Linked DNA regions of Macaca fascicularis. The protein of the gene in region 2 binds, or shares a complex with, the protein of the main gene of each other region. Links are inferred from orthologs where the notes say so. Each region holds a gene or a part of one and is shown on either strand. Other genes may lie near its edges.

Region 1 (3,979 bases), on a different chromosome or scaffold from region 2:
TAAGCCAAAAGGAGAGAGCTGTCTGCTGGTGCTCCATCAGCTACTGAAAGCTCCAGCTGACACTGACTGACAGGTCTTCCTAGAGTTTGTGCAAAGCCCCAGTGCAGAAAAAACAAACAACCCCCTCCCCAAAAAAACTTCCCCCCTAATTTAGGGGGCATCAAGAGAGTGTGTGAAAGGCTGAAACAGCATCAGGTTTCACTACCCAGATATTCACTTATATATCATGCTATTGACTTTTTTAAGTTTAAGGAAGTTGTCATGAGATTAAAGGAGCATGTGAACGCAGAAAGATTTACAAGTGTACCTCACTTTCAGCAAACTGAATATCTGAAAATCAGTGTAGTACAAAAGATAAATTTGCAAAATAATTCATTTCACTCCCACTTTGAGTAATTGGTTTACCATCTACATTTAAAACATACACTGATTTTCCACAATCTGTTTTACATAAAACATAGTAAGCACATAGGAACTGCATATAGAGAGATGTACATGGAACTAGCAAATCAGTATTAGGACACCACTGCAAAGGATGGAAATGAAGATTGCCCTGATTTTAAAAGTGTTCATTGACTACAGGAGCTAAAAAAGGCTTCTAATAAATTGCAAGTTATAAACAATCTTTATGCAAAGAGGGTTAATAGTTTGGAATTTTTTTTGGAAGTTTTGTCTTAGCTCCTTCTTTGAGTTTCTCACATTCAGTTTTCTCAGGAAGGACATCAAAAGAATCCATTTTAAAATCACAGCGGTAGGTGTTTTAAACACACTTTCACATCCCAGGTAAACATTTAACACCTGTGCACACATAGACATACACATTGGAGACCTAAGATACTCACAAAGGAGACAATACCAATAGAGCTGTGCTACAATAACCAATTTTCCATCATGTTACCTGAAGAGCCATTTATTCCAGAATACCAGCCCCAGTGTTTGAAATGCCAACCTTTTCACTTTCAATCAGCTTCGGGAACCCTAACCTGTTGGTTGCAAGAACGGAAGAGCTCTCAAATGCCTTTGCCAAGCATGTTTCTCTGTGGATAGAGACAGGCTAAATACATAACTTTTACATTGTAGGAGAAATTTAGAACACCTCTTGGGTAAGTTCCCTGGATCCCTATCTGTGGAGTTTCTTAAGGATAGCATAGTTGTCTCTCATTCCTGAATGAGAATTCCTAGCATTATAGAGTAAACTGAATTAGAATTCTGAGTATCTTATAACACTGATGAAATGCAATTTCACATTAAAAAAAAAACAACAAAAAAACCAACCAACCAACCAACCAAACAACAACAACAAAAAACTGGAGAGTTGCAGTGGGAGCAGAAAGTTCTAGAATCCTCTAGGTGTACTTAAAACATGAAGGCAACAAGAGGCTGTCTGACAGAATAATAGGCCGGGAGGAATTTACAAAGCCCCATCCAGGGTCTAGTCCTTGGACCAAGCCCTAGGTATTGTTTGCAGCCTGCAAGGGTAAAGGGGAGAAGGAATATATGAAAAGGAGCAAAGCAGAAGTTGAAAGTGTCAGGAAGATGAGTGGAGAAGAGATGAAGAAAGGGGAGTTAAATGAAGAAAAGGGGGATGTGTGTTGAAAGGAAGAGAGATTAGTGATGGGTAAAAAAGAGGAGAAAAAATGTTAAAATAGATAAGATGAAGTTCCCATCAACAACTGACTCAGTTGATAACAGCAAAAAATCCCTCAGAGCATGGGTGGCCAACCTTGCCCTTGACCCATACCCCATCCAGCCCCAAACCTCATAGCAATGCCATGGTTCTCTATGAGCACTTTCTCGCCTTTTCACAAAGGCTAATCTCACCTATCAAAGGCCACAGCCGTCATGGAGTAGATACTGGCGAAGACAGCAGCGATGGGGAAGAAGTTGTGGAACTTGCAGTAGAACAGGCCGTAGTACCATTCGTTGTGGACAGCATAGGTGAAGTTCACCACTGTATTGAATGCAGCCATGGAGGCCTCCGCGAAGGCCAGGTTCACCAGAAAATAATTGGTCACTGTCCTCATTCTTTTGTGGGCTAAGATGATCCACATCACTACCACGTTGCCCACCACAGAGGTCACCACAATGACCGTATAGGCAGCTGCCCAAAGGACAATTTGCCAGGCTGGTTGCACGAACTGATTGGGTTCCGAGGTGTTAGTGGAGATGTTTGCGGAGAGGTCTGAGTCCACCGGGAGGACGTTATCCATTTCGAAGCTAGGCGGTAAAACCTTACTATCTGTACACAACCCCCCTCTGTAGCAGAGTCCTGTGGCTGGCACCTGGGGCTCAGGGTCCTGCTGAAGTCGGACAGGAGGGTGGGAGGCTCTTTCTGGGCAGCACTCTTTTTGAAAGCTGAACTGGCGCTTAGAATATAAACGCTTCTGGATGCGCTGCCTGCCTGCCCGCGGTGGCTCTGAATTCCTCCACTTTCAAGCTGCAGGAGGCATTTGAGTTCAGAAGTCTGGAGACAGCATCTCTTGCGTTATACTGAAAAAGGGAAAGAAATTCCACCGGTCATGGTTCTAAGAAGCAAGAGATCCCTGCCTTTATGATTTATGCACCTGCTGCTCCCTGCAACTCCTATTTCCCCTTCCTCCGCCGGGAAAGGCAAAGCCCTGTGCTACGTGAGGACTTAGGAGCGAAGTGGGGGCCCATTGCAGCGCGACCTGTCAAAGTTCTGAGCCTATGGTCAGGATTCTGGAGCTCCGTGTCCAGCTGGAGATTTTTCCTTCGCTTTTGCTGCCGCTGCCGCCGCCTGCAGTTTCGCGGGCACCTCTCGGTTCGGGTTGCTCAGCTCGGCAGTTAGCTGCGCACGAGGCTTTTATAACCCGCTGCAGAGACGTCACTGGGAAGGGGCAGTACCTGGGCTGCGTACTCGCCAGTCCCGGTGCGCAGCGCGGCAGCTGCGCCAGCTGTTGACAACTGTCTCATTCCACCGCCCCAGCTACCACGCCTTTTGCTGCTAGCTACTTGTCGTGGGAGTCTGCGAGCCGGGAGCCCCACGCACTCCGCGAGGGGGCAGTAGGTGGCTTGGAAGTAACTGAGACAGATGTGGTCCGCAGCTGGAATCGTCGTTTCACTAGGGGTGCTGGGAGGAAGGAAAGATTTGGGAAACAGCTGGAGTGCAGGACAATCAGCTTCCAGGGAGGGAAGCCCAGAGCCCTGCGACAGCTCTGCAGAGGCGGCCTGCCTGTGGCAATGGGAAACGGGCAAGTGTGGGGGCGATGTGCCAGCGCCGCGCGCCGGGCCGCGCTCCAGCTACCGAGAAACCCGACGCGACTCCCTGGTCCAGGTGTCCCGAAAACAACTTTCCTGAGACTGTGTTGAGGAAACACCCCCACAAAATATCTAGCTCCATTTCCTGGAGAGCTGATTCACCTGGGAAGTGACGGACTCTAAGCTTTGAGGACACTTTCCTCAGCCACCCTGTTGACTGGGCCCCTCGTTCCAGGAGAAGCTCCATTGGAGCCCTCCACCTGACCCCTGTGGATGAGCCTCTGCTCAAGCACTGGGGACAGGGCTGAGCTCCCTGCGAAGCTTGGTGAGTGCAGAAGCCACACTCATAGGCAGCTTGCCGCTCAGACGCGCGGCTCTGGGCTCTCCGCCAGCACCCACTGCGGCGCTGCGTTTGCCTCCCGGGGACCTGGCAGCCTCCGCCTCCGCGCCTGCCAAGCCTGCAGGCCAGAGCCGGGCCCGAGGTGGCATCGGTGGTCCTTCTGCCTGTTCCCCTTCCAGGTTTGCCTAGGGGCTGGAGGACGGGTCAGCCCGCCTTCTCTCCCCACCTCCATCCTGCCCTGCCCTCTCGTGACTTTGAGGCCTCGTATCCCAGTCCAAGACCATTTCAAACGGTAGAACTGGTGCCAGACACTTGGAGGAGGCAGGGGAAAGACTCGCCAGTCCGTATGAACCCTTTTGGAGAAGCCAAGATGGAATGAGCTCCGCAGCGTGTTCCCGCCAGACTGCTGCAGGCCTTTCG
Region 2 (4,126 bases):
CTAGCAAGCTCTTCCCGCCTTTGGCTGGATCCCCTCCTCCCACTGTCGAGCCCCGAGCCCCAGCAGGCAGCCCTGCCACCCCCTACCCAGTTCCCCGGCGGCCCTGCTGCCCGCAGGCAGAGTCCGCCGCATTACCTAGAAGCAGCAGGCGGTGCGTACACATGTAGCCCATCTTTTCGTCCTGGAGTTGTTTGTCGATGAGCTTGCTGCGTTTCTTCTCTGCGCGCTTCTGGGCCCGCTTCTCCAGGGCTTCTTTGCGCATCTGTCTGCGCTTCTCCACCAGGGGTACCTTCTTGACCTTGGAGGAGTGCGAGGCTTTGGGCTGGGGACTCTCAGATCGACCGAAGCAGCCCCCGAAGGCTTGCATGAGGAAGTTGCGGAGTAAGTTGCGCTGGGGCTTTCGGCGGCGGCGATTTCGCCGATGCTGAAACCAGCGGATGCATCCGAAGGTCCCATCGTCGGACTCGTCTCCGCTGGAGTCATCGTCGCTGCTGGCCGCCCCTTCATCGTAGTACACGCGGCGGCCGCAGCTGCGCTCGGACTTGCCCCGCCAGGCAGACGCGCGAGCAGGCCGCGGAGTAGGCGGATCGGCAGCCTGGATCTCGGGGCTGGGGGGTCTAAGGTGATGGAGCTTGCGTCTGGCCCCGGAGGCAGGGGCTGCCGAGGCCGCCCGGGCGGCTTGGGCTGCCCGGGTGGCAGAAGCGGCTGGGGCAGTGGGAGCCCCGGCGTCAGGCGCAGCTGGGGCGACATGGGCTGCCCGGGTCTCAGCAGCCGCAGGGGCCGCGGGAACCTCAGGGGCTGCCCCGGCATCTGGATCGGCTGGGGCGTCAGGGGCTGCCCCGGCATCTGGAACCGCTGGGGCGTCAGGGGCCGCCCCGGAGTCGGGATCGGCCGGGGCGTCAGGGGCCGCCCCGGAGTCGGGATCGGCCGGGGCGTCAGGGGCCGCCCCGGAGTCGGGATCGGCCGGGGCGTCAGGGGCCGCCCCGGAGTCGGGATCGGCCGGGGCGGCAGGGGCTGCCCCGGAGTCGGGATCTTCTGGGGCTGCCCCGGAGTCGGGATCCGCTGGGGCTGCACGGGCTGCCCCGGTGGCGGTATCCGTTGAAGCTGCCCCGGCGGCAGGGGATCCGTACCCCGGAGAGGGGACTTTTCCTCCCTCCGCGGCATCAGCGGCTGTGCTTCCTTCCATCTCTGCTGCTTCCTCCTCAACTGGGGGTCTCTCTGCTCGCTCTCTCTTATCTGGGGCTCCGGAGACCTCGATGGGCGGGCCGTCAAGCGCGATTGGGGGGCTGTCCATGTTGACGGGAGCGTCGTCGACCCCAGCGGGGGCGCTGCCAATCTCGAGCGGGGGTCCGGAGATCTCCAACGGGGGGCCGCTGCCCGTGAAGTTAGGAGGAGGTCTGACAGCCTCTCGGGATGGGCTGCCGATGGCGCCTGGGACCCAGAGGGGAGGCGCGTTCGCGGCGGGAGTGAGGCGGACCGCACTCGAGGCCGCGACTGCCGCGAACTGGCCACCGCGGTCAACTTGTGCGATAACTCGGGAAAGCCCCGGGGGTGGGCTGTCGTCCCCAGATCCTTCTCCATCAAGCTCAAATGGCATAGTCTCCTCAGGGGGAGGGCTGTAGCCTCCTCTGGAGCCAGTCTTTGGAGGCCTGAGGGCTTGGGGCTCCTCGGGAGGAGCTCCGGGGACCCCTGCAGCACCTGGGCCTCCTGGAGCAAGGTCTGGGACCTGTAAGAGAGGTTGACTGCAGCCTGTCTTGGCAGGCTGGTCAAACTCAAAGGGCATAGCTTCTTCTGGTGGAGGGCTGTATCCTCCCAGGCCTGGTCTGGCACCACTGAAGGCTCCAGGTTCCACGAATGCTGGGCCGAAGGCCTCAAGGCCTGCATGGGCCCCACTGGGGGATCCAGGCTGCTCCAGTGTAGGCCAGAAGCCTCCCAAGCTGGGCTGTTCGACCTCGAAGGGCATTGCTTCCTCAGGAGGTGGGCTGTAGCTTCCATGGGCTCCAGCTTCCCTGAATGCCGGGTTGAGGACCTGAAAGTTGGGCCTGGAGACCTCTGGGGGTCCACAGGCCTCGCTGTCATTCTTGATGGGGATGGGCTCGTTGTGAGGCGGTTCGGTCTCCATCTCTTCGGCTGGGCTAGGCCCAGCACCGGGGGCAGCTGCCCCTGGGGCCTCCAAAGATGGTTGATCGGGCTGTTCCCCGATTTCAGGGGGGATATCGCGTTGTCCTGACATATTATTGCCGTGGAGGCAGTTGCGCACGCCCATAACAGGGTGGCGGCCTCTCAAAATAAGTTTGGGGCTCCGTAAGACGGAGCACCCAACCGAACTAGGGTGAAAAAATTATTATTGTTATTTTTAAATCAAAGTACCAGCTGGAAAGTTCACCAGCCTCACTTTCCAACCCTTGTGAGGTTGGGGGGCTTCAAGGCCTGGAACCCTAGACTGAGGCTGAAGCAACTCAATTGTTGCTGGTGGAGTCTTGGCTCCTTTCTGGCCACTTTTTATCCCCTCAGTATGCCCCCCAGCCCCTCTTCCTTGGTCTGTCCTTATGCCCTCCTCTCTCTTTCTTTCTCCTCCAGGCCAGTCCCGCCTGCTTGGATCTGACGAGCGTGCCGATTCGGTCCGAAAATCGCCAGTAGCGCTCTCTCGCTGCCACCAGAGGACGCCGGTTCCAGTGCCGAGCTGGCTCCAGCTCCAGAATCCTGCTCCTCGCGCCGCGGCCCGGGACTTTGGGTAAGGGGGCTGACGAGCGCAGGCCTCGCAGGGACGTTTTGGCTCCTTCCACTCCTCTCCCTGACTGATTTGGAATCTTTCTCCTCGCTTCTCCCCTGGCCAGAGAAAGCTCTCCTGCGTTGCGGGACACGTGACGCAAGACGTGGGCCTCGGGACGCTGGAGTACAGGAGCTGAAATCCTCCCTCCCCAACCCAACCGACTCCTCGGGGGAGGGGGGACTGAAGAAGGGTTTCATCACCCCAGGATACCCCTGAAACACTGAGTCATAGCCCCCAGCCTCCAGGCAGCTCCGGATCTCAAGCCCCTAGTCCAGAGCGCAAGGCTTTTGGTGCCTGAGAAGGGGCACAGGCATGCGTGGGGATGCGACAGGTGGTCGTGAGCCCACCAGAGAAGCAGAGAGAGACGAGGGAGAGGGGATGCCGAGTATGCGAGCACACAATTTGTTTTTTAAATGCCTTGGGTGTACTTTTTACTGCTTTTGTTTGTTGCTTGCTGAGGTTGGCTCCGGTAAAGCACTTTAACAGCCCCCACCCTCATCACACTCTAGGGGTCTCCGCAGTGGCCCACGCAGCGCAAGCAGGGTGCTCCCTTGTTTATGTGGATGGTGACGCAGGGGAATAAGAAGGTCTCGGGTGCGTACCACCAAGAGCAAAGCCCCCTAGGCAGTAGCTGCGGTGGCACCGATGGAGGGGTGGGGGGCGTGCTGCGCAGAGGGGGACCCCACAAAGCGGCCGCAGAGTTTCGCAGGTCCTGCGGTTCTAGGGAAGGGTTAAAGGGGATTTTGGTTGGCGTTTATGGCCGGTTTAGGGTGATTTCGAGAGTGGACAACGCTGTGGGCACTGAACCCACAGATAAACACCATGCCGCGCGGCAACCGCAGCTGAGGTGCGCTGCTCGCTGCTTCGGGTGCCGGCCGCAGCACCGGTCAGTCTGCTCCTTTAGCCCCACTACAGCCTGTCTCCAGCACCCTTCCAGCCCCTCTCCTCTCGCTATGGGTATCTTAGGGTAGTCGCTTTAGTTTTCCACTGCTAGAGCCTACTGAGGCGGCACTGAGCCCGCCAACCGGCCACAAACCCGGCGGTTGCCCGCGCAGCTGCGCTCCCGCTACCATGCTGCGGTGGGCTCAGAGCTAGCCAAAGGTAAATACCCAAACCACCTGGTGACCTTGGTGTGTGCACATGCTATGCTCTGGTCTGGGGTCTGCAGAGGGATTTGAGCCCGGGAGAAAAGCTGCTGTTAGGGGGTCACGTAAAACCCGGCAGGTGCGCATCAGGTCGGTCTCACCAGTAAGACAGATTGGTGAACCACGTCTAGGCACAGAGCAGCTGGGCAGGAGGCAGGGGGTCACCTGACCTGCAGAGTCCTGCGGGAGGAGAGGCTGGATGAGCGTT
Region 3 (4,038 bases), on a different chromosome or scaffold from region 2:
GTGTGAGATTGAGCAGAAACAGCAAAGTAAATCAAATCCACAAAATTTTAGAGATAAAATTAATATAACACAAAATAAGTATGTTTAATAAATAGGGAAGCATGTTAAATAAATAGGGAAGCTTCCAAAGGGGGAAAAATTCGTGATGGAAGAAAGGAGGTGGGAGCTGCTATCAGGGAGGTGAGTGAGCGTTGGGGCTCTGCATGGCCTGAAGGTGTATGAAGGAACTCACTAGGGATCAGAGAAACTAGAGACTAGGTTTAAAGAAACAAAATAAGGGATTTAAAAACATGAGTAAGGAGGAAGAGATTATTAAAAAATGACAAGCCATATTTTTAGAAAGACTGAAAAAGACTTTCTAAAAATAAAAAATACGATAATTTAAATTTAAAACTCAACACAGGGACTAACCAACTGATTAGATCCAGCTGAAGAGAAAATCAGTATTGTGCAGGATAGAGATAAAGAAGTAACACAAAATTATCAGCATGTTAAGGACAGGGGAAAACATAAAAGAGATATGGAGAAAAGGTGAAAAGGGTAGCATATACATAATTGGAATTCCATAAAGATTGAAAAGAGAGAATGTTGAAAAGGCAATATTCACAAAGCTGATGAGCTTTCTAGAACTGATGAAGGAATCCTGAGGATGGATGAAGAATCCTCATATATCTTCAATCCTCATGGAATCCACAGATTAATGAAGCTTAGAAAATCTCAAATAGGATTAAAAACACAAAAATGGAAACCTATACTTAGACACATTGCAATAAAATTGCAGTTCGCCAAAGACTAAGGAAAAAAGAGCCAGAGAGGAAAGATGGACTACCTATGAAGGATGGAATTGAGATGGACAAAGGACTTCTCAACCGCGATAATAGACAGCAGAAGATTAAAAGTTCCAAATTGCTAAGAAAATATATGTCATCCTATAATTATATACTCAACAGAACTAAATTTCAAGGACCAGAGGAAGAATTAGGACATTTTCAGATAAACTACCACTGAGAACATTTACATCCAAAATCCCCACTAAAGAAACTTCTAAAGGATATAATTGAAGTAGGAAAAGGACACTAGAGTAATGTCTGAGATGCAGGAAGGATTGAATCAGCCCCCGCGGATGGGACTCTGATGCACACACAACACGTCCAACACTAGGCTCGTGTGTCTTGGGGAGAACACCTGGACCATGAAAACATCCTTCCTTAAGACCAGGACCGAGAAAGTCGGGTAATGGGCAGTGTGTACCTCTTCCTCCTCTGTCTGTGTTACTCAATAAATAGGCATCATTTTCTTTAAAAATGGGATGATAGATTAAATGGAAAAAATGATTTTTAGAAAGGTTTATAAGGTTTTCAATGGAATACATTTCTCTAGCTGTAAAAGCATTTCCTGCCTTGACTTAACCACAAGACAGGATGGGTTGATGAAGCAGACAGAGGCCCTCTTCTCTGTAGTGACGCAGAGGCAGTGCAGGCTTGTGGTTATGAGCGTGGGCTCTGGAGACAATTCAAATGCCTCTCAAAAGCACTCTGGGCCCATTTGTGTTTCTTCACCTCTCTAAGTTCCCGTTTTCACATGTGTAAGTTAGTACCCAGTTTCTAAGATTGTTGTGAGGGTTAAATGAAATGACATATGAAGCAAAGTTCATAGCACATGGGAAGCATTCACTGTAGGTTAGCTGGTAATATTGCTTTAATGACATTGGTAGTGTGCTCCAATCTTTGTGCTGTCCCCTACATTTCCTGAAAAGAAATAATCCTTAGCCATCTAGCCAGAGCATAGCAGAAAAGCTGGAGGTGCTCAGAGTGTGATTTGTATGGTAACATTTCACATATAATACCAAGCTCTGCAGATAATAGTTGTTCATTTAATTTGGGTGGATCTGAGATTTTCATGGAATACTGCATATAATTCCTATTACAGTATTCATATATCTTTTCAGATCTTATTTTGGCTCCTTTAATCAAATTTTGAGAAAATTGTTTTTAGAGCCAGAACTGAGAAATTTTGGTGAGTTTTTAATTTTTAAATTTTTACCAGATGTCAAAAAAGACAATCTACAGTATATTAAAGTGTATCTATTCTTGAACAGCTCTAAAAATAGTACAAATCATTGATGACGATGATCAAAAGTAAAATATTTTCCTACAGTGTTATAGAAAATGCTTGCTTTCATTTATCAGTTTAATAGTTACTTATTAAGACTCTACTATATATTTCAGGCACTGTGGTAGTCACTTATTAACTAATAATTATTACTTGACATTTATTAATACTGGAAATATTCATTCCTAACATCACATTTTTTTCCAATGGATATAAAAAATATTTACTGGACCATTGTACAGATGAGGGATTGGTGCCAGATAGCTCTAAAGCCAGGAGGTGGTGGTCGGCTTCTTCCTAAATACTGAATCAAGTTTGCCAAAGCACTCTTTCCTGGAAAGAAAATAAAGTATGAACAACCCCCTTTTTCTATATCTATAGTTTTACCTAATTAGTTCTAAATTTAAAGTTTGGCCCTTTACCACTGCTCAAAGTAGAGGAAACCCTGTGTCTTCCTCATTTCTTTCTCTCTTATAATAATTTGCATCACTACATTTATACAGCCTAAACCAGGTAGAATGTTGCGAACATCGCTGACAATTATACCAAAGCATGTTATCTATTTTAAAATCTTATTTTATTTTTTAATCTTACACTTACCCATGTTTCTTCGGGTGATGCGTTTGTTGACTGAGGAGCTTGATAAATCTGTGCCTGCATCAAGTCAAGAAGAGAAACCAACACTGCTGAGGGGACAGGAAATTGCACTCATATTTCACCACAAACCAATGAGGAAGTAGCATCTCAATGAGAAGGACGTGCATTATCCAAGTTTGAAGCCAAAACTCTCTTAAATACTTTTAAAGATGTTTCTAGTTATTTTTTTACCGTACTGTAATTTTTATAACTCACTTGTCTCATTGCATCTTAATTTCAAGTGTGTACAGATATAATATGCCCCTTACTTAATGGAATATATAGTAAATATTTTATTTCTTTATTCATTCATTAATTCAATCATTCATTCACTCATCATGCCAGCAGTGTGCGGGGAGATGTATACGAACTGGTTATCAACCCAAAGGAGTTTTTTTTTTTTAACCTAGTAAAGGAGAAAGACATGTTTAATAGTGATTGTAATGCAATGGCAAAATGAAGAAGTACTTCAAGAGGGGAACAGATAAAATAGAATGAGCCATTTGGATGTGTGAGATAGGGGAGGATATTGTAGACAGATTCAGGGTGATGAAGTTCCTGGGAGAAAAACAGAAAAGGGAGAATTGAGGCTGAGGGGTTTAATGATGGCTGTTGTGCTGTTTAAGGCTGGGATTAAGGTAGCCAACTTCATACAGTCTTTTTTTTTTTTTTTTTTTTGAGAGACTAATGGGATTGGATATATAGTATTTGATTGTAGAACTATTTTCTCCTTTGAGTTTCCTCTTGGAAACAGAGATGGCTAGGAGCAGTTGAACTAACTAGCTGAGACAAATAATTTTATGAAACTTGAAAATTTTATTTGAGAAAGATTTTTATTGTTATTACAAAACCTCTTGTACTTCAGCAAGTTAAAGTTAATGCCAAATCTATAAGCGGTTTAATATGAAGTGAAATTAGCTCCTATAACTTTCTTGCTATTGATATATAAAAAAGTCAGAAATATCACTTTTGAATCTTGCCCTCACAAACTTTTATTATAAATGAAGGGAAAATATTATTTAAAATAACATAATTGATTTGGGATGAAAATATTTAACCCAATTTTAAAGATGTAATCAGGACATTTTGAATCTGTGTTTGTAAAATGACATTAAGGGTTGGTGGTGGTGGTGGTGGCTTTTTTTTTCTTTTTTTCTCCTACCCGAGATGGAAAAGATGAGGCTGTATATAAGCAAGGCTTTTCATATTGAAGTTGATCAGGGTATATCAGGAATTTTCAATACTTCCTTTGTAGGTCTTTCTTTAAGAATAATAAAACTAATACTTTAC
Region 4 (4,139 bases), on a different chromosome or scaffold from region 2:
ACAGAACTGTACCTCCTCTTGCTGACATTTAGGTCAGCTCCAGTTCAGCCCATTCTGTCTTCCTCGGAACCCAAACAGAGAGCTCACAGCCCTCTGACCACACAGTGCTCCTTCACCTCTCAGAGGACTCCCAGTGCACCAGACTGCAACACAAAGAGAACGGTTTGGATATCGTTGCGGCCTTGGATTTAGTTCCAAAATGTCAAGCAGGCCTCTTAATGAGGGGTCTCTATTCTTGATGTTATGGTGGTGGAGCTACAGGGCAGGGAGAAGCCCTGAGTTAAAGGACCCACCTGTGTGCCATCAGGAAACCACGTGAAAAGCATTACCAAGGCAAAAGATCTGAGTTCAATCTGGGCTGCTTACTTAGCTGGGCAAGAATGCTTCATCTCTCCTGAGCCTCAGTTTCCTCACCTATCAAATGGGCTAGCAGAGCTTCACAAGGCTGTTGTGTGAAGGAAGAAGTGTATATGAAAGTGCTTGTAAGCACCTGACAAGTATAAAATAAGACAGGTGTGGAGGAGGACCGGGAGAGGTGCTCTGGAAGAAGTAACAGAAATGGGTGCCATGGATTCCAGTTACAGTTGAAGAGCCTCTTTCTCTGTGACCTGAGGTCCCTCCCACCTCCTCCTTCTGCCCTGAGGGCCTGAAAAATGCCTCTCTTCACTTGCTCCCAGTAGCTGCAGTAAAATAGATTACAAGGGAAAACCGCCTATTCCCCCGAAGCAGTAGCTCTCCAGAACTCATCTGGAGGTCCAGGTCACTAGGGGAGAAGAGGCCGGGCTGAATCCACGCCTGGCTCCACGGAGGAGCCACAACGATGGCCATCCTCCCCCAGCCCCTAGCACGCTGAGACAGGCTCACCTGAGGTTATCAGTGTCTCCACTGGACAATCAAGGAACTGAGGTTCTTTCCCTCCAAAACCACACACCTCCTCACGGCTTCACAGGGAGGAGGATCAAATGACCTGCTCTTGAAAGCACTTTGCAAAAGGGATGAAAGGTACAATAACGAGCAAAAATAGCCTCCAAGATGTGATATAAAGCGATGCCAATGCGCAGCTGTGTGGTTACTGGTAAGCAGACCTCCGGGAAACACAGGAGACACCCCACTTATCCCACAGACGTTCTCATCCCATATGCCTTTGTCCAAAGGTTGCACGGGGGTTAAGCTTGGCCCAGAGGGCGCCGAGGGCTGGTCAAGTCCTCCCCTTTCCAAGAACCAGCCGAATCTCCCTCCCGCAGATCTGAGAGGCAGAGCCGCCCACCCCGCGGCGCCGGGCCACTTCTGGGCGCGCCATCCGCCGTCCGCCCAGGCTCGGGGAGACAGCGCCCTGAGTCCCGGCTGGGAGAAGGTTGCTCACCTGGTCCTCACGGATTCCAGCCGAGGGGCGTGACCGCCTCTCCCCACACCCTCTGCCCTGAGCGGGTCGTGAAGTCTCTTGGCCCCAGGGGGCGCGGCCCGCATCGGCCGAGTCCAGGGCACGCACCTACGCCCTCCCATCCAGCGGACTGGGTAGGGGGCCTCGGGCGGCGCCGGAGAAACGGGGGCGGGCTGCACCCAGTAGAATGGGGTGGGCCTCTCAGAAGCCCCAGGCCGCAGGCGAGGGGCGCGCCCCCAACATCTTCCCACAAAGAGCTCCAGCTCTCCAAAGCAAGGCGCAGTGCGGCCAGAGGACAGCCCCAACCCCTGAGAGGGGCGCGAGGAGAAGGGGAGCGCCGTGGGGGCGGGGACCCTTCCCGGCCCGCAACCTGAGCCCTCAACCCCGCACAATGAGTTTAGCCCGGCTCCATCCCGACCTCCCTCTCCGCCCGGGCCCGGGCCCGCGACCGCGTCCCACGCCGAGTGCTCACCGAGGAGCCGCTGCCGCGGCAGCTCAGGCCCCGGCCCAGCCGCCTCCCCGCCTCGGCCACCGCCGCCGCCGCTTCCTTCCTCCCCGCCGCGCTCCGGGACTGGAGGTTTCGGGTTTCAGCCCGCCGAGCCCCGCTTCGCTCCTCCCGCGGGCCAGCCACCAGCACGCGGACCCGGGCGAACGCAGGCCAAGTAACTTTGCGGCGCCCGCGCCCCGCCTTCCCCACGCCCGGCCGGGCCCCTCCGGCCCCCAAAGCCCCGAGTCGCCTCCCCGCGCCCCGCACCGCCCCGCCCCGCGCGGCTCCCGGCGCCCCTCCCCACCCGCGCCCCTTCCTTCGCGTCCGTCAGCTCGCCCGCCCTCCCGGCTGCTGCTTTCCCATTTCTTCCCACGAACAGCCTCGGCTGCTGCTCTTTGTCTCGCCCTTACCCTCTCGGCTCGCTGCACTTTTCTCCTGAAAACCTTTGTGGTCCCTAACTTAGGCCTTCCCTGTTCCCGTTCCTGCGTCCCAGTTCCAGCCGCTGGGACGTCCCCTTTTCCATGTCTCTCTGCATCACACAGACACTTTCAGATTCTTCCCGCAGGCTCCGCACAGTCCCATTCTCCTCCTCCAGTCCCGCCGTGGAAGATCCTGGTATCGCCTTTGCTGCTCACCTTTCATTCATCCAGCCGACGGGCACGAGCATCCATCTGCGTCCTGCCAGGCTCTGTCCCGGGCTCTGTGAATACCACAGTGAATCCGCCCCGGGGAGTGGGGAGTGGACGTAAACAGGTCTTCACACTGCTGCCCTGCACTCCCTCGGAGCCAAAAGGCCAGGGAGCAGTCATCACAAAACAAAGAGCGGGCGCTGTCAGCTCGGGGGACGGAACAGTTCCTTCTCAGAATGTTTGTTTTGTCTTCCTCACTCCCCACTTTCCCTGCCTGTCTCCAGCCTCCTACGTTTTCTATGCAGCAGTCTTAATAAGGGGATGGAAAGTTGAAGCACAGAGTAGAACTGCTAAAAAAGGAAAGAAGGAAGGACAAACAGGGCAACAAAATAATCAGGTAAGAAGTTATAAAGCCCAGTTCACTAAACTTCAGCAAAAGAAAAAAAAAGACAAAAAAACCCTGGTGCTGTGCTTACAGCAGGATTCACATTCCTCTGAAATCCATCTGCTTTGATAAATACATTAATTATTCCCTTGTCTACAGATTGACACTGTGGGAGATGCTTCCTTATTATTAATATTATTGGGCCACTGAGGCACCATTTAGAACAGTAATTTACTGTCTGGCACCTACCAAACACCCACATTGCTCCGGGGACAAATGGGATAATGGGGAGAAAAAAGTAAATGGATGCCTTAATATTCCTATGGGATAAATGCTTTATTTGGTCAAAAACTGGAAACTGACACTCCACTTAGAGTCTAGGTCACCCGGCAAGCCAGACCCTTGAAGGAGCTTAAAGCTTTCTGTTCTTAAGAGTATTTTAGACACTTATTTTGAACTCCCTGTTATTTATTTAATTTACACTGGCTCAGCTGTCGGCTAAGCTCTATGAGCCTGAGGGAGTGAGTTAACCTTCCTGAGTCTCAGCTTATTCATACACAAAATGGGGATACTCATACCTTCCTATCTGTAGAGTTGAAAAGGTCAAATGAGGTCATGTAACTAAATCACCAGTGTCATAAATTCGGAGAACTAAACCCTTTTGAAAATTGGTATTCACGAAAGGTCTGAAAATATATGCCATGGACTGGCATGGCAAGAATGAGAGTAAAAAATAAACAGTTACGGCTGTTTTGGCTCCATACCCATTCATGATGCAAAAGATGTCCTTCATACTGAACAACCTTTTCCCATACTTACTCTATTTCATTTTGAACTGTTCAACAGAAGACATTTTTTTTTCTCCTGCTGCTCATTATCAAATACATTATTTATCACAAAGATTTTTCTTTTTTCTGAGCTCATAAGCTCAGAACTTACTGTGCATTCAGGGATAGAAATTGCTGCCAACAAATGCATTTTCAATTGCTGTCTTAAGATTTTTTTTTCCCTTCTGGAGTTAATATTGAGCTATGAGTGAATTCAGTCAGATGCAGAGAAAACAAACAAATTGTTATTAAAGTAATTATTTCACTGTTTATCATTGTATAGGTGATAATTGTGAAAAACGTGACTGCTTTTGTGCAAGAATGTATTTTTTTTTTCAGAAAAAGAGAAAGATACACACTAATTCTCCTTTCCCAAATTAGTTTAATAAACCATTCTGTTTTAGAGACATCCACAAAGACTTATAAACTA
Region 5 (3,964 bases), on a different chromosome or scaffold from region 2:
ATATGAAAATCAAAACCTATTTCAGGATTCATTTTAGAAAGTACATATTGAAAAACTATATTGAAAAATGACCCGTTGGAATCTAGATTGACATGGCAACATTTGAAACTAGTGGCCTAGCTAACACAGTCAACCATGCGGAAGGAGTTGCAACATTTATAGAAATACCGAAAGAATTCTTGTGAACAGTAATTGCCGAAAGGAAAGAAAGAATGAATAAGAATGGTTTCAGGGTTGCAATGTCGGTGACATTACTGAGTTCATGTTAGCAAAATCAGGACCCTTCCAAACACAATTATGTAAACTATTTGCATTGGATTGAAAGGGGTCATATTCTGTTACATACATGCAGCATTAAAAAATCTACCATCATGTAAAACAAAATAGTCTGGAAAAAGTAAGTCTTCCTCAGTTTTCCTCAATCACTCAAATTTATTTTAAAGTCCAGGTAAAAACTCTGAAACTCATTGACTTTTTACAACATCATGGGCGTATCATATCCCTTCCTTTCCTACCCCCAATCAGCCCTCCAAACAAAATATAAAAGGAAACCCCTGCCCCCAAGCAAAACAAAATAATATTGCGTGAAGATCTCAACAATACTTTTTTAATGGTGAAAACACCGGTAACATTATTTTCACTTCAATTACTTAACTCATCTAAACGATGTCATTGCTTCACGAATGCTAAGTGCTCCTGTGGCTTGAGAGGGAATCCGATGCAAGGAATTCAAGGCAAGCATCTCAAACCTTGGCCAGGCAGTGGAAGTGCTTGGTAAATGCAGAGTCCTCCTGGGTGCAAGGGTGCTACACATCACTGGGCGAGCGCGCTCTCTGGGCGAGACTGGACGGGATGCAGCCGCAGCAAATAAGACAGAGCGCTTTCTGGATCTCTTGGTTTCTGAAAGCATATATGACAGGGTTGATGATGGAATTGTAGGTGGCGGGCAGGAGGGTGGCGTAGGTATAGATGGAGGGGTAGGTGTAATCTGCTATCAAGGAATAGAGGGTGAAAGGCATCCAGCAAGCAGCAAAGGTCCCCAGGATGATAGCCAGGGTGGAGACCCCTCTCCGGGTGGTCACATAGTGCGACGTGGCCAGGAAGTGGTGCTGTAGGGCTATCTGATGGGCGTGCCTCATCACAATCTTACAGATCTGGATGTAGAGCTGAAGCATGAGCGCAAACATGAAGAGGAAGGACACCGAGAGGATGGCCGCGTTGTTCTTGGTGAGCGGTCTGACCACGCTGCAGGTGGTCTCGTCTCGGAGGCAGTTCCAGCCCATGACGGGCAGCAGCCCCAGGCAGATGGAGGTCCCCCAGAGCATGACGAGCATGACATAGGTAAACGTGACCGTCCTCTCCGAATGGTACGTCAGAGCGTAGTACAGTGAGAGGTAGCGGTCAACAGTGATAGCCAGCAAGCTGCAGACAGAGGCAGAGAAAGAGGCGACAATGAGGCCGATGGTGACCAGCTTGGTGGCTTCTGACTGAAGCAGGTAGGCAAAAACAAAATTGATGATGAGTCCAATGCCGGCCAGCAGGTCTGCAAGAGCCAGACTGCCTATCAGCAGGAACATGGGCGCTCGCAGGCTGGGGTTGTGGAAGATGATAAGGACCACAATGGCATTTTCACAGGAGATGAGGGTTCCCGAGGTACACAAGACAATGTCCCAGGGGTTGACTACGAGCTCAGGCTCTGGCTTTACGGCAGGAACCCGGGAGGAGACAGCAGCCGAGATGTTCTCCGCAGCAGCGGCATCTAAATAATCCCGAGGCAGCCCGCTTAAATTGACCTTCAGGTCTTCATTCATTTTAACCCCTGTCCTCTTCAACGAAAAGACAGGTTTTTTAATGTTTAGATACAGCAGGGTGACGATCCGAGATCATGCAAAAGACACACAGACAGACAGAAAGCCAGCCCCTGCTCAGACACCAGTACCAAATGCCACAAGCTTCGGGAATGAGGAACTGTTGGGAAATGAAACAAAAGCCAAAGTCTCTGTGGTTTAAACCCCACAACACAAATGCCGTTTGGCACTGGGGAAAACACAGGGTTGGACTTCAAAACACCAGCGTGAGCGAGGCAGACACACACGGACTCGCGGCGGTCTGTTTGCAAAAGCGCTGGGAATGCACATTGGAAAATCACATCTTGCATGCTGAAAACCAACAACTGTTTGACATCTGGGCTGCTGCCGAGAAAACCACGCGGCAGCGGCAGGTCTTGAGTCAGGGGCCGCCATCCTCGATGGAATATTTAAATCGCCTATTTCCATCGAACTCCCACCCTCCAAACGCATCCCCCACGCGCGTGCACACCCTCAAACGCACCCCCGACCGGAACAAAGAGGGGCTCCCAGACTCCCCCCCGTGCGCACGGAGCAGTCGGGAGGGCCACGAGAGGGAGGTGTGTGCAATGGAAGTACCGAGACAGACAGACAGACAGACAGATGCCCATGCACTGCCTCCGCTCCCCTGGCAGCGGGGACTGGAGTCGGACGCGAGAGGGACAGACAGGGTGCGGGGACAGGCGGCCCGCGGGGGCGGGGGGGTCATCGAGGGGGTCACCTTGGCGCGCCCAGGCCGAGGGGGCTCCTCCGGTGCTTCCGAAGCGCGCGGGCTACTCGTGTCGCATGTCGGCGCAGGCGCCCGCTGTGGCAAAGGGCGGAGGCCGGGCTCCGGAGCGGGCCGGGAGGGCGCAGGGCGCGCGCTCCGCTGCAGGTGAGCGACGCGGCTGCAGGTGAGCCGCAGGCTCGGCTCGCGCGCCCAGCTTTCCCCGCCGCGCCCGCCCGGCCCACACGCTCCCCGCGCGCGCTCCGCCCCCGCCCCGCGCGCGCCCGGCCGCCCGCCAGCCCGCGGGATCCCCGGGAGGCCGCGCGCGCCTCCACGGGTCGGGACTGCTCTAGGGTGCGGGCAGGCGAGGGCGGCCCCGGAGCGCGGGGCAAAAGAGCCGGGAGGCTGAGAACTGCATGGTCGCCCTGCCCGCCTGCCGCGCCGCGCGCCCCACCCCAGCCGGCGGACCCGGGCTTGCACCGGGCGGGGCAGGGGAGCGCTGCCTGGGAGCCCTGTGACCTATTTCGTTCCTGTGGTTTCCCCGGGGAGCTCCAGTCTCCACAGTCCTGGCTTTTCCACGCCTTCACCTAAACCGCTACATTCAGGGCCAAAAGGATTGCTTAGGATGGTATTCACGATCAGCAGCAGGGAGGCGGGGTGGACAGGTTGAGGAAGCAGATCTTTAAAACAACAAAATGCCCCGCACGCTTTTTTAGAATTGCCCATGGTCTTGGACCTGGTTCATTATCACTGTTTCCCAGGAACATTTGCTTAACTGAATAGATGCTGCTGCTCTGTGTATCATCATTATCATCACCAACTTGCACTTATTAAGTGCTCTTTGAGCTGTGTTTTCAAATGGAAATCATTTACTGAGTTCTTGTAGAAGCTTCCTGCAGACATTGGCCAAACCCCAATTCATTTAGATACTGAAGTGGCACTATTAATTTATTTTTTCATTTTGCCACATCAATGGATTCTGAGATGAAGAACCTGATAGCTGTCTGCTTTTCTGAGCCCAGGCCTCCTCTGGATATAAAAACCCAAGCACCTCGTAGATCTTAAGTTCCAAGATGATCCTCCAGTTTAAAGATGGGAGAAGGAAAAAGTGTTATAGTCTTGTCTTGCCCTGTCAGAGGTGAAGGTTTTCCCACTACTTTTCTTCCACTTCCCCAGGGGCTTTTGTACAAATGGAAATGGTCGGCAGGCAAAGGACCCTATAGGAGTATCATCAGCTGGCCAGCCTGCCTTCCCCTGCTGCTCACGTCTTCTCTATCCCAGCCCAACAGACTCGGAGCCTCAGTCACCCTTGACTTTCTTCCTGCTTCTCCTCCCCTTCTTCCATCAATCAGTTTCTGGCTCTGCAAGGTCGCTCCAGCTCTCCCTGCATGCCACTTCTCATCATCCTCAG
Region 6 (4,076 bases), on a different chromosome or scaffold from region 2:
GCTCAGGTGACAGGTGCACAAAAATCTCAGAATTCACTATGAAAGAACTCATCTATGTAACCAAAAACCACGTGTACCCTCAAATCTATTGAAATTTTAAAAACTTAAGACAATAAATAAAGTAAGCTGCATGCTGTGGCATGCCTGTAGTCCCAGCTACTAGGAAGGCTAAGGCAGGATTTCTTGGGCCCAGGAGTTCAAGGTTGCACTGAGCTGGGCCACTGCATTCAGGCCTGGGCAACAGAGTGAGACTCTATCTGGAACAAACAAAAGAGAAAGAAAGCAAGCAAGAGAAAGCAAGAAAGCAAGCAAACAAGAAAGAAAGGAAATAAAGACACTTATACACTTATAATTCAGCTTTCTAATAGTAATTCTATAGTCAGTCACATACCCCAAATTACATTCTTGTAATGGGTTTATTCGTGTACAAAATATGTTGTAATTTTTTGATGCATGTGCAGCAAAATATTCTATCACATACAACAAAAATACACCTTTTACTCCCTTTTCCCTGCCCTTGAAAATGGCAACACTGTTCTGGCAGTTCAGCAGCTAAAAATAAAGTGCTATAATTAAGCAGTATTGGAATGTATTCGTTTGACAAATGTGATGTACAATTTGAGTATACAATCGTATCTTTTTCTTGGTTTTTCACAGAATAGGAAGCTCCACATCCTGAACACCTCCAGAAGATACAAATATTTGTATATATATGTACACCTGTATACACTGTATATGTAAAGTGCCAACAAGCCTCTTTGTCCTTTTGAGTTTGTTGAATTTCTCTTTAGTCCCTTTTTCTTTCCACAGTCAGACTCACACCATTGGGATCTCAGAGTTCATCAGCAGGTACCAAGCTTACCAAAGGCTGGCTTGTTGGGGGTGTGGTGTTGGTGAGAGGACATGGAGCGAGCCCTTCAGACCTCGCTGGGGGACCTGGAACGAAAGGGCACTTTGGACTGGAAACAGCCACAAAACAGGAGCCACAGGGCGCGCTGAATCTCCTGGTTGCGGAAGGCATAGATGATGGGATTGATCATGGAGTTGTAGGTGGCGGGCAGCAGGGTGGCGTAAGTGTAGACTGCCGGGTCCTCGTGGCTGCCCACCACGCAATAGATGGCGAAGGGCAGCCAGCTGGCGCCGAAAGTGCCCAGCACAACAGCCAGCGTACCCACACCTTTTCTGGTGGCGGCGAGGTGGGGTGGCGCCAGGCAGTGCTGCTGCAGCGCAATCTGGTGCGCGTGGCGCCAGACCACCTGGCAGATGCGCACGTACAGGTGCAGCATGATGCCGAAGACCATGAAGAAGGCGACGGAGAGCAGCACCACGTGGCTGCGCGCCAGCGGGCGCACCACGCTGCAGGCGGCACGCTCTGCCAGGCAGTTCCAGCCCAGCACAGGCAGCAGCCCCAGGCCTAGGGACACGGTCCAGGTGGCGGCAAGCAGGAGGTGCACGCCCAACAGGGTCCGGCGCGAGTAATAGGTGAGCGCGTTATACAGGGACAGGTAGCGGTCCACCGTAATGGCCAGCAGGCTGCTGACAGAAGCGGCGAAGGAAGCCACGAGGAAGCCCACCGTGAGCAGACTCACAGTCTCCGAGGGCACCACGTACTGGAACACAAAGTGCAAGATGAGGCCACAGCCCGCCAGCAGGTCAGCGGTGGCCAGACTGCCCACCAGCACGAACATGGGCGTGCGCAGCGCCGGAGTGGACGCGATGAGCGCCACCACCAGCGCATTTTCTCCAGCGATCACTGTCCCCGACACGCATAGGAGCACGTCCCACGGATTCACCGCTGGCAGCAGGAGTCCCGGTGGCCCAGCCGACAGCTGCCAGGACAGCTCCAGAGACCCATTAGCTCCGCCGCCGGCTCCCAGAGCCGCAGCAGCAGGGGGTCCCCATTCGCCGGTGTCCGGCCCCCCTGTTGCTGTGGCCGCCGCCGCCGCTCCTTCGGCCGCCACTACCACCACCTGGGAGTCGTTGAGCGAGGCGGCGCTCGCGTTCATTGCGGCCGGATTTGCACCCTGCATAGGGAGGGAGTGCAGGCGTCAGGTGTACCCTTCAGGCTGCCAGGAAACTTTCCCACGCATAGAGCCTCCTCTCGCATTGCACCACTTGAGTTGTCCACCCCACCCTGGGACCCCAGAGCAAATCGGGGAATCATGGGTTAAGTGAGATCCCAAAATAAATACCTGTTGAGTAAGTGAGTGAAATACCCACGCGGACTTCTGAGTTTTTGCACAGATATACACCAGGACAACATGCACTCACATGCACACGGATCAATTCTCCAAGGATGTCTGTATTTGCACACGCATACGAGTGCACCAGCTAGGAGTGTCATCCTGGGAGAGTCCCGCCCGGGTTGTGGCGGCGCGACCAGGACATCTCCAGGGAGCTGGGCAGCGGATACGCTGTCCGTGGTGCTGAAAGCGAAGTTTCTGCCCTTGCGAAGCTTGGAGCGCCCTAGAGCCCAGAGACCCCTGAGAAGGGGGTCTGGGAGGAGAGACTAGGGTGTGTGTATGGGGGGAGTGGAGGGTCGGAGTCAAGCTTGGCTCCATTTCTCCTCTTCTGGAAAGACCCGTTCCCTGGCTATCCTTCTCCCCACATCCTCAAAGTTCCCTGGGGAACTCGGCCGCTCACCTGGGGCGTCAGGACTTCTGGAAGTCGCTGGTCATGGGCGCTGAGGCGGGGCGCCGGGCTGAGCTCCCCGCGCGGACTGAGCAGCTGCCTGCAGGAGGCGGCCCGGCCGGGAAGGAGGCAAGCGCGGGGCGCCTGTCGCTGTGCCGGCGCCGCGAGTGAGAGACACAGTTGGTGGCAGAAAAGGCGGCTGCGAGCGGCGCGCGCTGGAGATTGACAGGCAGGGCGTGGTGACGTCAGGCTCCCGGCTCCCGGTGCGAACCCAGCACTCACTCTCCTCGCCAACCCATCCTGCGCCCTCCCCGCCGCACTCCCCTTGCCCCCTATACTATCTGAGGGTCCTAGGAGGGAGGAAAAGCCAGAGCAGTCACCTCCAGTCCAGAACTTCCAGGAATGGGATGGGAGAGAGACAAAGAGAGGGAGAAAGGAGTGAAGAAGACCCTGAGACCAGGCGGCGAAGAGGGTGAGCTGGGAGAGGAGGGGTGAAGGATGAGTGGCACCTGCCGGGCAGCAAAGCCCAACCTCAAAGATCACCGAGGGATCAGATCCAAAAAGAAACCCCAGAGAAGGGGGAGGTTGGGACAGGGGTGTTTGATGGGAAAGTAGCTACCTTTAAAAAAAAAAACGCCGCTCCCAAAACAGGAATTATCTGGGAAAAGAAATTCACTTTTTATTTTATTTTATGTATGTATGTATGTATTGAGACAGAGTCTCACTCTCGCCCAGGCTGGAATGTAGTGGCCCGATCTCGGCCCACTGCAACTTCTGCATCCTGGGTTCAAGCGATTCTCCTGCCTCAGCCTCCGGAGTAGCTGGAATTACAGGTGTGCGCCACCACGCCCAGCTAATTTTTGTAGAGATGGGGTTTCACCATGTTGGTCAGGCTGGGCTTTCCTGACCTCATGTGATCCACCTGCCTCGGCCTCCCAAAGTGCTGTTATTACAGGTGTGAGCCACCGCACCGGGCCTGAAATCCAGTTTTTAAAAAGGATATTCGTGGTACATGCTCAGTTGAGTAGAGCCAGGGAAGAAATTCTGAGTTATGGGGAGCAGATAAAAGATGGATAAGAAGGGGACATCTGAGGAAAACAATCTCTTCTTTTGGAGGTTGCCTGTGCAGTTCCTCTCTTTGCCATGATCTTTCTTGAGCTCTACACAGCAGGTTTCACCATGATCTTTTCTGCCCAGTGTTTCCCCATTTCGGTAGCTGATAGTACCCTTGGAACTTGCACTTTAATTAAAGACCAGGTCTGCATCTTGCTAGAGAAAAGGAAAACAGCAAAATGGGATTTACTTTCTTGGCTTCAGACTTTGCCCTGTTAATTAGTTCCCTATAAAACAAATTACAGGACGAAAATAGTGATAACTCAGCTGCACCAGACTTCAGTAGGCAGGAGTTTTATTTTCAGCCCAGATAAATCATCCTTTTGTTTTAA
Region 7 (4,252 bases), on a different chromosome or scaffold from region 2:
GCCCAAGCTGGCCTGTACCTTTCACGATTCACATCGTCGTTATCATTATCTTACTGCAAGTCTTTGCCTGAAGTCTTTTCATCCAAACCGCTTTCCACCCAGATCTCCTTTTCCAAATCAACCCTCGCCCCAAATCTGCAAAGAACTTCTCATTTCCAGGTCACTTCTCAGTAGAGGGGGAGGTTACAGAAACAGGCCCCCACCCAGCAGTTCTTTCCCTACCCTGCCTCTCCTCTTGCAAGAGGGCAGGGGTGGGAAACGTAGGGAGGGGCCGGGGCTCATACTGCAGTTTCCCCCTTGCTGCTGTGGCTGAGTCTGTGGTAGAAGCGGCGCCACGACTGCAGGGTCTTGCCCGACCAGATCCAGAAGCCAGTGGTGATGCCCACGATCATGGTCATCAAGTACTTGATCATGAAGACGGTGAAGTCGGGGCTCATGGGCGGGAAGTGGCCGGGCGGGCAGGGCACGGCATAGCTCTTGCACGTCTGCAGGAGCCAGGTGCGCTCCCAGTGCTCGCGGAAGGCCTGCTCGTAGAAGTAGCAGGCCAGCACGATGGTGGCGGGCACTGTGTAGAGCACGCTGAAGACGCCAATGCGCACCATGAGCTTCTCCAGCTTCTCGGTCTTGGTGCCGTCGTGTTTCATGATGGTGCGGATACGGAAGAGGGACACGAAGCCGGCCAGCAGGAAGGACGTGCCGATGAAGAGGTAGACGAACAGAGGCGCCAACACGAAGCCCCGCAGCGCGTCCACACTGGACAGGCCAACATAGCACACCCCGCTGAGCAGGTCCCCGTCTACCTGGCCCATGGCCAGGATAGTGATGGTCTTGACGGCGGGCACGGCCCACGCGGCCAAGTGGAAGTACTGCGAGTTGGCCTCGATGGCCTCGTGGCCCCACTTCATGCCGGCCGCCAGGAACCAAGTGAGAGACAGAATGACCCACCAGATGGAGCTGGCCATGCCGAAGAAGTAAAGCACCATAAAGAGGATGGTGCAGCCCTCCTTCTTGGTGCCCTGCGCCACCGTGCGGTAGCCATCGTCCGAGAAGCGCTCCACGCACACGGCGCGGTCCTCCAGAAGGAAGCCGGCCACGTGCGCCACGGCCACCATGAAGTAGCAGCCCGACAAGAAGATGATGGGCCGCTCTGGGTAGCTGAAGCGCCGCATGTCCACCAGGTAGGTGAGAACGGTAAAGAGCGTCGAGGCGCAGCACAGCACCGACCACACGCCCACCCAGAGGCGGGCGAAGCGCCTCTCCTCCTCCTTAAAGTACATCAGGCCGTTGGCACGGCCCGGTTCGCACGGGGCGCCGCAATCGCGCTCACCCAGGAAGCGGTAGCCCAGGTAGGGGGGCACCTTGAGCTGACGGGGGCATGAGAAGGGGAAGGCGGGACGCCCCCTGCCATCTGAGGCCCCCGGAGGCAGCGCGGTGAAGGGCAGGTCCGGCAGGTAGGGCGCAGTAGGGTAGGCAGTGGGGCCGCCGCCTGGACCTCCGGAGCCGTCTGACGTATTCTGGCCCACGCAGATCTCGCCCGCGCCGTGCACCGGGAAGTTCTCGCAGCGCAGCCGCTCGGGCCACTGGAAGCCGAACTTGTTCATGAGCGCCTCGCAGCCCTGGCGGGCGCGCTCGCACAGAGAACGACACGGCGGGATGGCCTGATCGAGCACGGTGCACACGGGCGCGTACATGGAGCATAGGAAGAAGCGGAGTTCGGGAGAACACTGCACCTTCACCAGCGGGTAGAACTGGTGCACCTCGAGGCCCGCGTCCTCTTGGTTCGTGTGGCCCAGCAAGTTGGGCAGGATGGTCTGGTTGTAGGCGATGTCCGTGCACAGCGGGATGGAGATGGGCTGGCAGAAGCCGTGGTCCGGCACGGAGATGCCCTTCTCTCCGTGGTACGGCTGCGCCCCGGCGCCCGCGGACAGCGCGCCCAGCAGCACCAGCATCAGGGCGCAGAGGCCCAGGGACAAGCGAGGGGCGGCCGCGCCGGGGTCCCGCATCGCCGACCACGAGTGCAGCGGTGCTCTCAGCCCGAGGAGTGCGACGAGGCGGTTGGGAGAGGCAAGGATGCGGGGAGGCGCCGCCGCGCCCGGCGCATGAGAGTCCTCACGGCGCCGGGGCCGGGCCGTGGGCGGCGTGGAGCAAAGGGCGCTGCCGCCTGGGTGCCCGCGCCGCGGGGGCGCCGCAGCCGCCGCCGCCCGGCACTCGCAGGGCCGCCGGGGGCCCAAAACTCGTCAGCCTGGGTTGGGGGCGCCGAGGAGGGCCGCCTTGCTCTCCCCGCGAGGACTTAACGGTGAGGCTCCCTCCGCCGCGAGGAGCAACAAGCGGCTCCGGGCACCCTTCAAAGTTTGCCCAAGTCTCTGGACCCCCGGCGCACGGCAGCGCGCACGGCCCCCGCTCCCGGTCGGGCCCCCTCCAGGAGAACCCCCTCCTGGAGAACCCCTGGCGCCGCCGCCCGCTCGCCCCAGCCGCCGCCTCCGCGGTGCTGCCCCGCCTCCTGGCCTCCAGGCTCCGCTCGCCGCCGCCTCCTTCGCCTCCTCCTCCACACCCCACTCCTTCTTCAACCCCAAAACCTCGGCCCCAAGTTTCAGCCAAACGGCCGGCTCTCGCTGAGTCCGATCTCGGCCCCAGAGTCGGGAGCGCGGCGAGTTCTTTTTGGAAATCCAGTCACACTGCGTCCGAAACCGCGAGGCGCTCGTGCCCGCGGCCTGGCCCTGGCCCCTCCAGCCCCGCGCAGCCCCAGCCGCAAGTCCTGGCGCCCGCCGCCGCCGCCCGCCGGGAGGGAGCGCCGACTAACGCCTCGGAGTCGCGCTGGTCGCCAGAAGAAGCGTCGGGCTCGCGGGGTTCCGGACCGGCCCGCCCCCTCCCCTCCCCCCATTCACAAACCACTCCGGGGGCGGCCCCAGGTCCCGGCGGCCCAATGGTAGCCTTTGTTTTTTCGGTGGCCGCCTTTGGATTGGGCGGAAGTCGGAAGGGGCGGGCGCGGGAGCGGCGGAGGCGGTGTCCGCGGCGCTCTGGGCGGATTCCTGAGGGGAGGGGCGGGGGACTGGGAGGGAAAAGTTCGGAAAAACTTTTACCCTGAATTCGCTCAGGGGGGAAAACGCGCAGAAAGGGAATTTGCTTCAAAGATTTGTTCCTTTTCCTGGTGCACTCAGATGCGCATTCCTGAGCAGGGGCTCCTTCGCCAGCAGCTTTTGCGGGGAGCGAGGACCGCGCAGCGCCCCTGCGGGGAGAGACGTGACCGGGAGTCGCGTTAGGACTGCAAAGACTGGCTCTGGCGGGGCTTTCGGGTCGCCGGGTCCTCAATGGGTGGTTTGGGACGGGGCGAGAAGGGGGTGCGCCTTGAGGATCGCTTCTTTCCCCCTGGACCCAAACAGTCCACGCGAGGCCACAGTCCCCGCTCCCCTCTCCCGAGTTGTAAAAAGGAGGAGGGGCCGCCTCAGGAGAAACCCGAGTCGGGCGGAGGGGGCCGAGTGACGGTGGGAGGAAGGGCCCAAAGCGGGGAGCGCGGGGAACCCGGGCTCAGGCCACCCCGCCCGCGCGCACGGCCTGGAGTCTGGGGAGCTGGGGTGGCTCTAGCGAGGTTTTAAGGAAACGAAGACGGCGTTGGGGAGACTGGTTCTAGAAGTAACCTGAGACCGAGCGCCCAGGAACACTCTGTACGACGCGCCGGGCGTCTCAGTGGCCCCGTGTGCTTTGGTTCTGCGGCGTGTGGCCTTTCGGGATCCCATCTTCGTTGCAGAAGCAACCATTAGATCCTCCATTTAGAATCTGCATAGAAATGCTTAAATGCGTCTTAGAAACCAGGCTAATTAAAGAGTTTTCAAAACACAAAGCGGGGTTATCCTCGTTCTCGGGTAGCGTTTTCTGATTGGCAAACGTTCTTTTGTTCTCGGTTAAATCTTCGTCCTGCGCCAGGCGCTAGGCGCTCGCGCGCGCTCTCTCTGGTTACTCCTGGAGGGTCAGAAGTCACCAGGGGGGCATCTCCCCTCTCTCCGGGCTGCCAGGAATATCAGGAATTCCCATGCAGGGAAGTGACATGTTGAGAAGGAAAGGAAAAAAATCAATCGACCTCTCCTCCTCCTCCTCCTCCTCCTCCTCCTCCTCCTCTTCCTCCTTCTTCTTCTCTCTCTCTGTCTCTCTCTCTCTCTCTCTCTCTCTCTCTCTCTCTCTCTCTCTCACACACACACACACACACACACACACACACACACACACACACACACACACACAGAGCAATCCTATGCTT

The links.
Region 1: the proteins of GNAS (region 2) and TACR1 are in contact, whole or in part, in a cryo-EM structure (PDB 7RMH), measured with the Homo sapiens proteins. The link is inferred for Macaca fascicularis from reciprocal best matches to the Homo sapiens genes GNAS and TACR1. Residues at the interface, in NP_000507.1 of Homo sapiens: Arg38, His41, Val217, Phe219, Tyr358, Phe376, Cys379, Arg380, Ile383, Gln384, Arg385, His387, Leu388, Gln390, Tyr391, Glu392, Leu393, Leu394; in NP_001049.1 of Homo sapiens: Met63, Thr67, Asn68, Asp129, Arg130, Ala133, Ile134, Ile135, Pro137, Leu138, Gln139, Pro140, Arg141, Leu223, Gln239, Ala242, Lys243, Val246, Met249, Leu308, Asn309, Phe312.
Region 3: the proteins of GNAS (region 2) and GPR65 are in contact, whole or in part, in a cryo-EM structure (PDB 9BHL), measured with the Homo sapiens proteins. The link is inferred for Macaca fascicularis from reciprocal best matches to the Homo sapiens genes GNAS and GPR65. Residues at the interface, in NP_000507.1 of Homo sapiens: Gln35, Arg38, His41, Val217, Tyr358, Tyr360, Phe376, Asp378, Arg380, Asp381, Ile383, Gln384, Arg385, His387, Leu388, Gln390, Tyr391, Glu392, Leu393, Leu394; in NP_003599.2 of Homo sapiens: Gln42, Glu48, Leu49, Leu53, Asp111, Arg112, Ala115, Val116, Pro119, Leu120, Lys121, Phe123, Arg126, Val206, Ala209, Val210, Asn213, Lys214, Ala215, Thr216, Glu220, Ile224, Leu227, Leu228, Tyr290, Cys291, Thr294, Glu295.
Region 4: the proteins of GNAS (region 2) and GPR161 are in contact, whole or in part, in a cryo-EM structure (PDB 8SMV), measured with the Homo sapiens proteins. The link is inferred for Macaca fascicularis from reciprocal best matches to the Homo sapiens genes GNAS and GPR161. Residues at the interface, in NP_000507.1 of Homo sapiens: His41, Lys216, Val217, Phe219, Phe376, Cys379, Arg380, Asp381, Ile383, Gln384, Arg385, His387, Leu388, Tyr391, Glu392, Leu393, Leu394; in NP_001254539.1 of Homo sapiens: Arg125, Ala128, Val129, Leu130, Pro132, Met133, Met137, Ile211, Val214, Ala215, Lys218, Ala219, Lys267, Ala268, Thr271, Ile272, Trp327.
Region 5: the proteins of GNAS (region 2) and GPR12 are in contact, whole or in part, in a cryo-EM structure (PDB 7Y3G), measured with the Homo sapiens proteins. The link is inferred for Macaca fascicularis from reciprocal best matches to the Homo sapiens genes GNAS and GPR12. Residues at the interface, in NP_000507.1 of Homo sapiens: Gln35, Arg38, Ala39, His41, Val217, Asp323, Asp343, Leu346, Arg347, Thr350, Tyr358, Cys359, Pro361, Phe376, Cys379, Arg380, Asp381, Ile383, Gln384, Arg385, His387, Leu388, Gln390, Tyr391, Glu392, Leu393, Leu394; in NP_005279.1 of Homo sapiens: Met79, Arg138, Ser141, Leu142, Tyr143, Ala145, Leu146, Tyr148, His149, Ser150, Glu151, Ile220, Ile223, Val224, Arg226, His227, Ala228, Gln230, Ile231, Gln234, His235, Phe237, Lys248, Gly249, Thr252, Leu253, Ile300, Arg304.
Region 6: the proteins of GNAS (region 2) and GPR6 are in contact, whole or in part, in a cryo-EM structure (PDB 8TYW), measured with the Homo sapiens proteins. The link is inferred for Macaca fascicularis from reciprocal best matches to the Homo sapiens genes GNAS and GPR6. Residues at the interface, in NP_000507.1 of Homo sapiens: Gln35, Arg38, His41, Val217, Phe219, Asp323, Asp343, Leu346, Ser349, Thr350, Arg356, Tyr358, Cys359, Phe376, Arg380, Asp381, Ile383, Gln384, Arg385, His387, Leu388, Gln390, Tyr391, Glu392, Leu393, Leu394; in NP_005275.1 of Homo sapiens: Met107, Asp165, Arg166, Ser169, Leu170, Ala173, Leu174, Thr175, Tyr176, Tyr177, Leu182, Ile248, Val252, Arg254, His255, Ala256, Gln258, Ile259, Leu261, Gln262, Gln263, His264, Lys276, Gly277, Thr280, Leu281, Arg332, Asn333, Gln334, Glu335.
Region 7: the proteins of GNAS (region 2) and FZD7 are in contact, whole or in part, in a cryo-EM structure (PDB 9EW2), measured with the Homo sapiens proteins. The link is inferred for Macaca fascicularis from reciprocal best matches to the Homo sapiens genes GNAS and FZD7. Residues at the interface, in NP_000507.1 of Homo sapiens: Asp381, Gln384, Arg385, His387, Leu388, Gln390, Tyr391, Glu392, Leu393, Leu394; in NP_003498.1 of Homo sapiens: Pro285, Ala364, Lys368, Trp369, Gly370, His371, Ile374, Ile450, Ile453, Met454, Asp457, Thr459, Lys463, Leu464, Leu467, Lys552.

Annotation. Positions count from the first base shown.
Region 1 is NC_088387.1:46,739,808-46,743,786, reverse strand, and holds the start of TACR1 (substance-P receptor), read right to left. Parts: upstream 2,801-3,979; 5' UTR 2,211-2,800; coding exon 1,822-2,210; intron 1-1,821. UniProt on the Homo sapiens protein: This is a receptor for the tachykinin neuropeptide substance P. It is probably associated with G proteins that activate a phosphatidylinositol-calcium second messenger system.
Region 2 is NC_088384.1:114,906,205-114,910,330, reverse strand, and holds the start of GNAS (guanine nucleotide-binding protein G(s) subunit alpha isoforms XLas), read right to left. Parts: upstream 2,801-4,126; 5' UTR 2,267-2,800; coding exon 136-2,266; intron 1-135. UniProt on the Homo sapiens protein: Guanine nucleotide-binding proteins (G proteins) function as transducers in numerous signaling pathways controlled by G protein-coupled receptors (GPCRs).
Region 3 is NC_088381.1:155,957,151-155,961,188, reverse strand, and holds the start of GPR65 (psychosine receptor), read right to left. Parts: upstream 2,801-4,038; 5' UTR 2,713-2,800; intron 1-2,712. UniProt on the Homo sapiens protein: Proton-sensing G-protein coupled receptor activated by extracellular pH, which is required to monitor pH changes and generate adaptive reactions. Activated by an optimal pH of 7.4.
Region 4 is NC_088375.1:25,801,651-25,805,789, forward strand, and holds the start of GPR161 (G-protein coupled receptor 161), read right to left. Parts: upstream 2,801-4,139; 5' UTR 2,511-2,800; coding exon of another isoform or gene 2,504-2,510; exon of another isoform or gene 2,279-2,503; intron 1,955-2,278; exon of another isoform or gene 1,504-1,954; coding exon of another isoform or gene 1,364-1,503; intron 1-1,363. UniProt on the Homo sapiens protein: Key negative regulator of Shh signaling, which promotes the processing of GLI3 into GLI3R during neural tube development.
Region 5 is NC_088391.1:6,810,724-6,814,687, forward strand, and holds the start of GPR12 (G-protein coupled receptor 12), read right to left. Parts: upstream 2,801-3,964; 5' UTR 2,569-2,800; intron 1,827-2,568; exon of another isoform or gene 1,820-1,826; 5' UTR 1,812-1,819; coding exon 807-1,811; 3' UTR 1-806. UniProt on the Homo sapiens protein: Promotes neurite outgrowth and blocks myelin inhibition in neurons. Receptor with constitutive G(s) signaling activity that stimulates cyclic AMP production.
Region 6 is NC_088378.1:14,018,029-14,022,104, reverse strand, and holds GPR6 (G-protein coupled receptor 6), read right to left. Parts: upstream 2,801-4,076; 5' UTR 2,644-2,800; intron 2,025-2,643; 5' UTR 2,007-2,024; coding exon 918-2,006; 3' UTR 398-917; downstream 1-397. UniProt on the Homo sapiens protein: Orphan receptor with constitutive G(s) signaling activity that activate cyclic AMP. Promotes neurite outgrowth and blocks myelin inhibition in neurons.
Region 7 is NC_088386.1:97,857,398-97,861,649, reverse strand, and holds the start of FZD7 (frizzled-7), read right to left. Parts: upstream 2,801-4,252; 5' UTR 2,004-2,800; coding exon 279-2,003; 3' UTR 1-278. UniProt on the Homo sapiens protein: Receptor for Wnt proteins.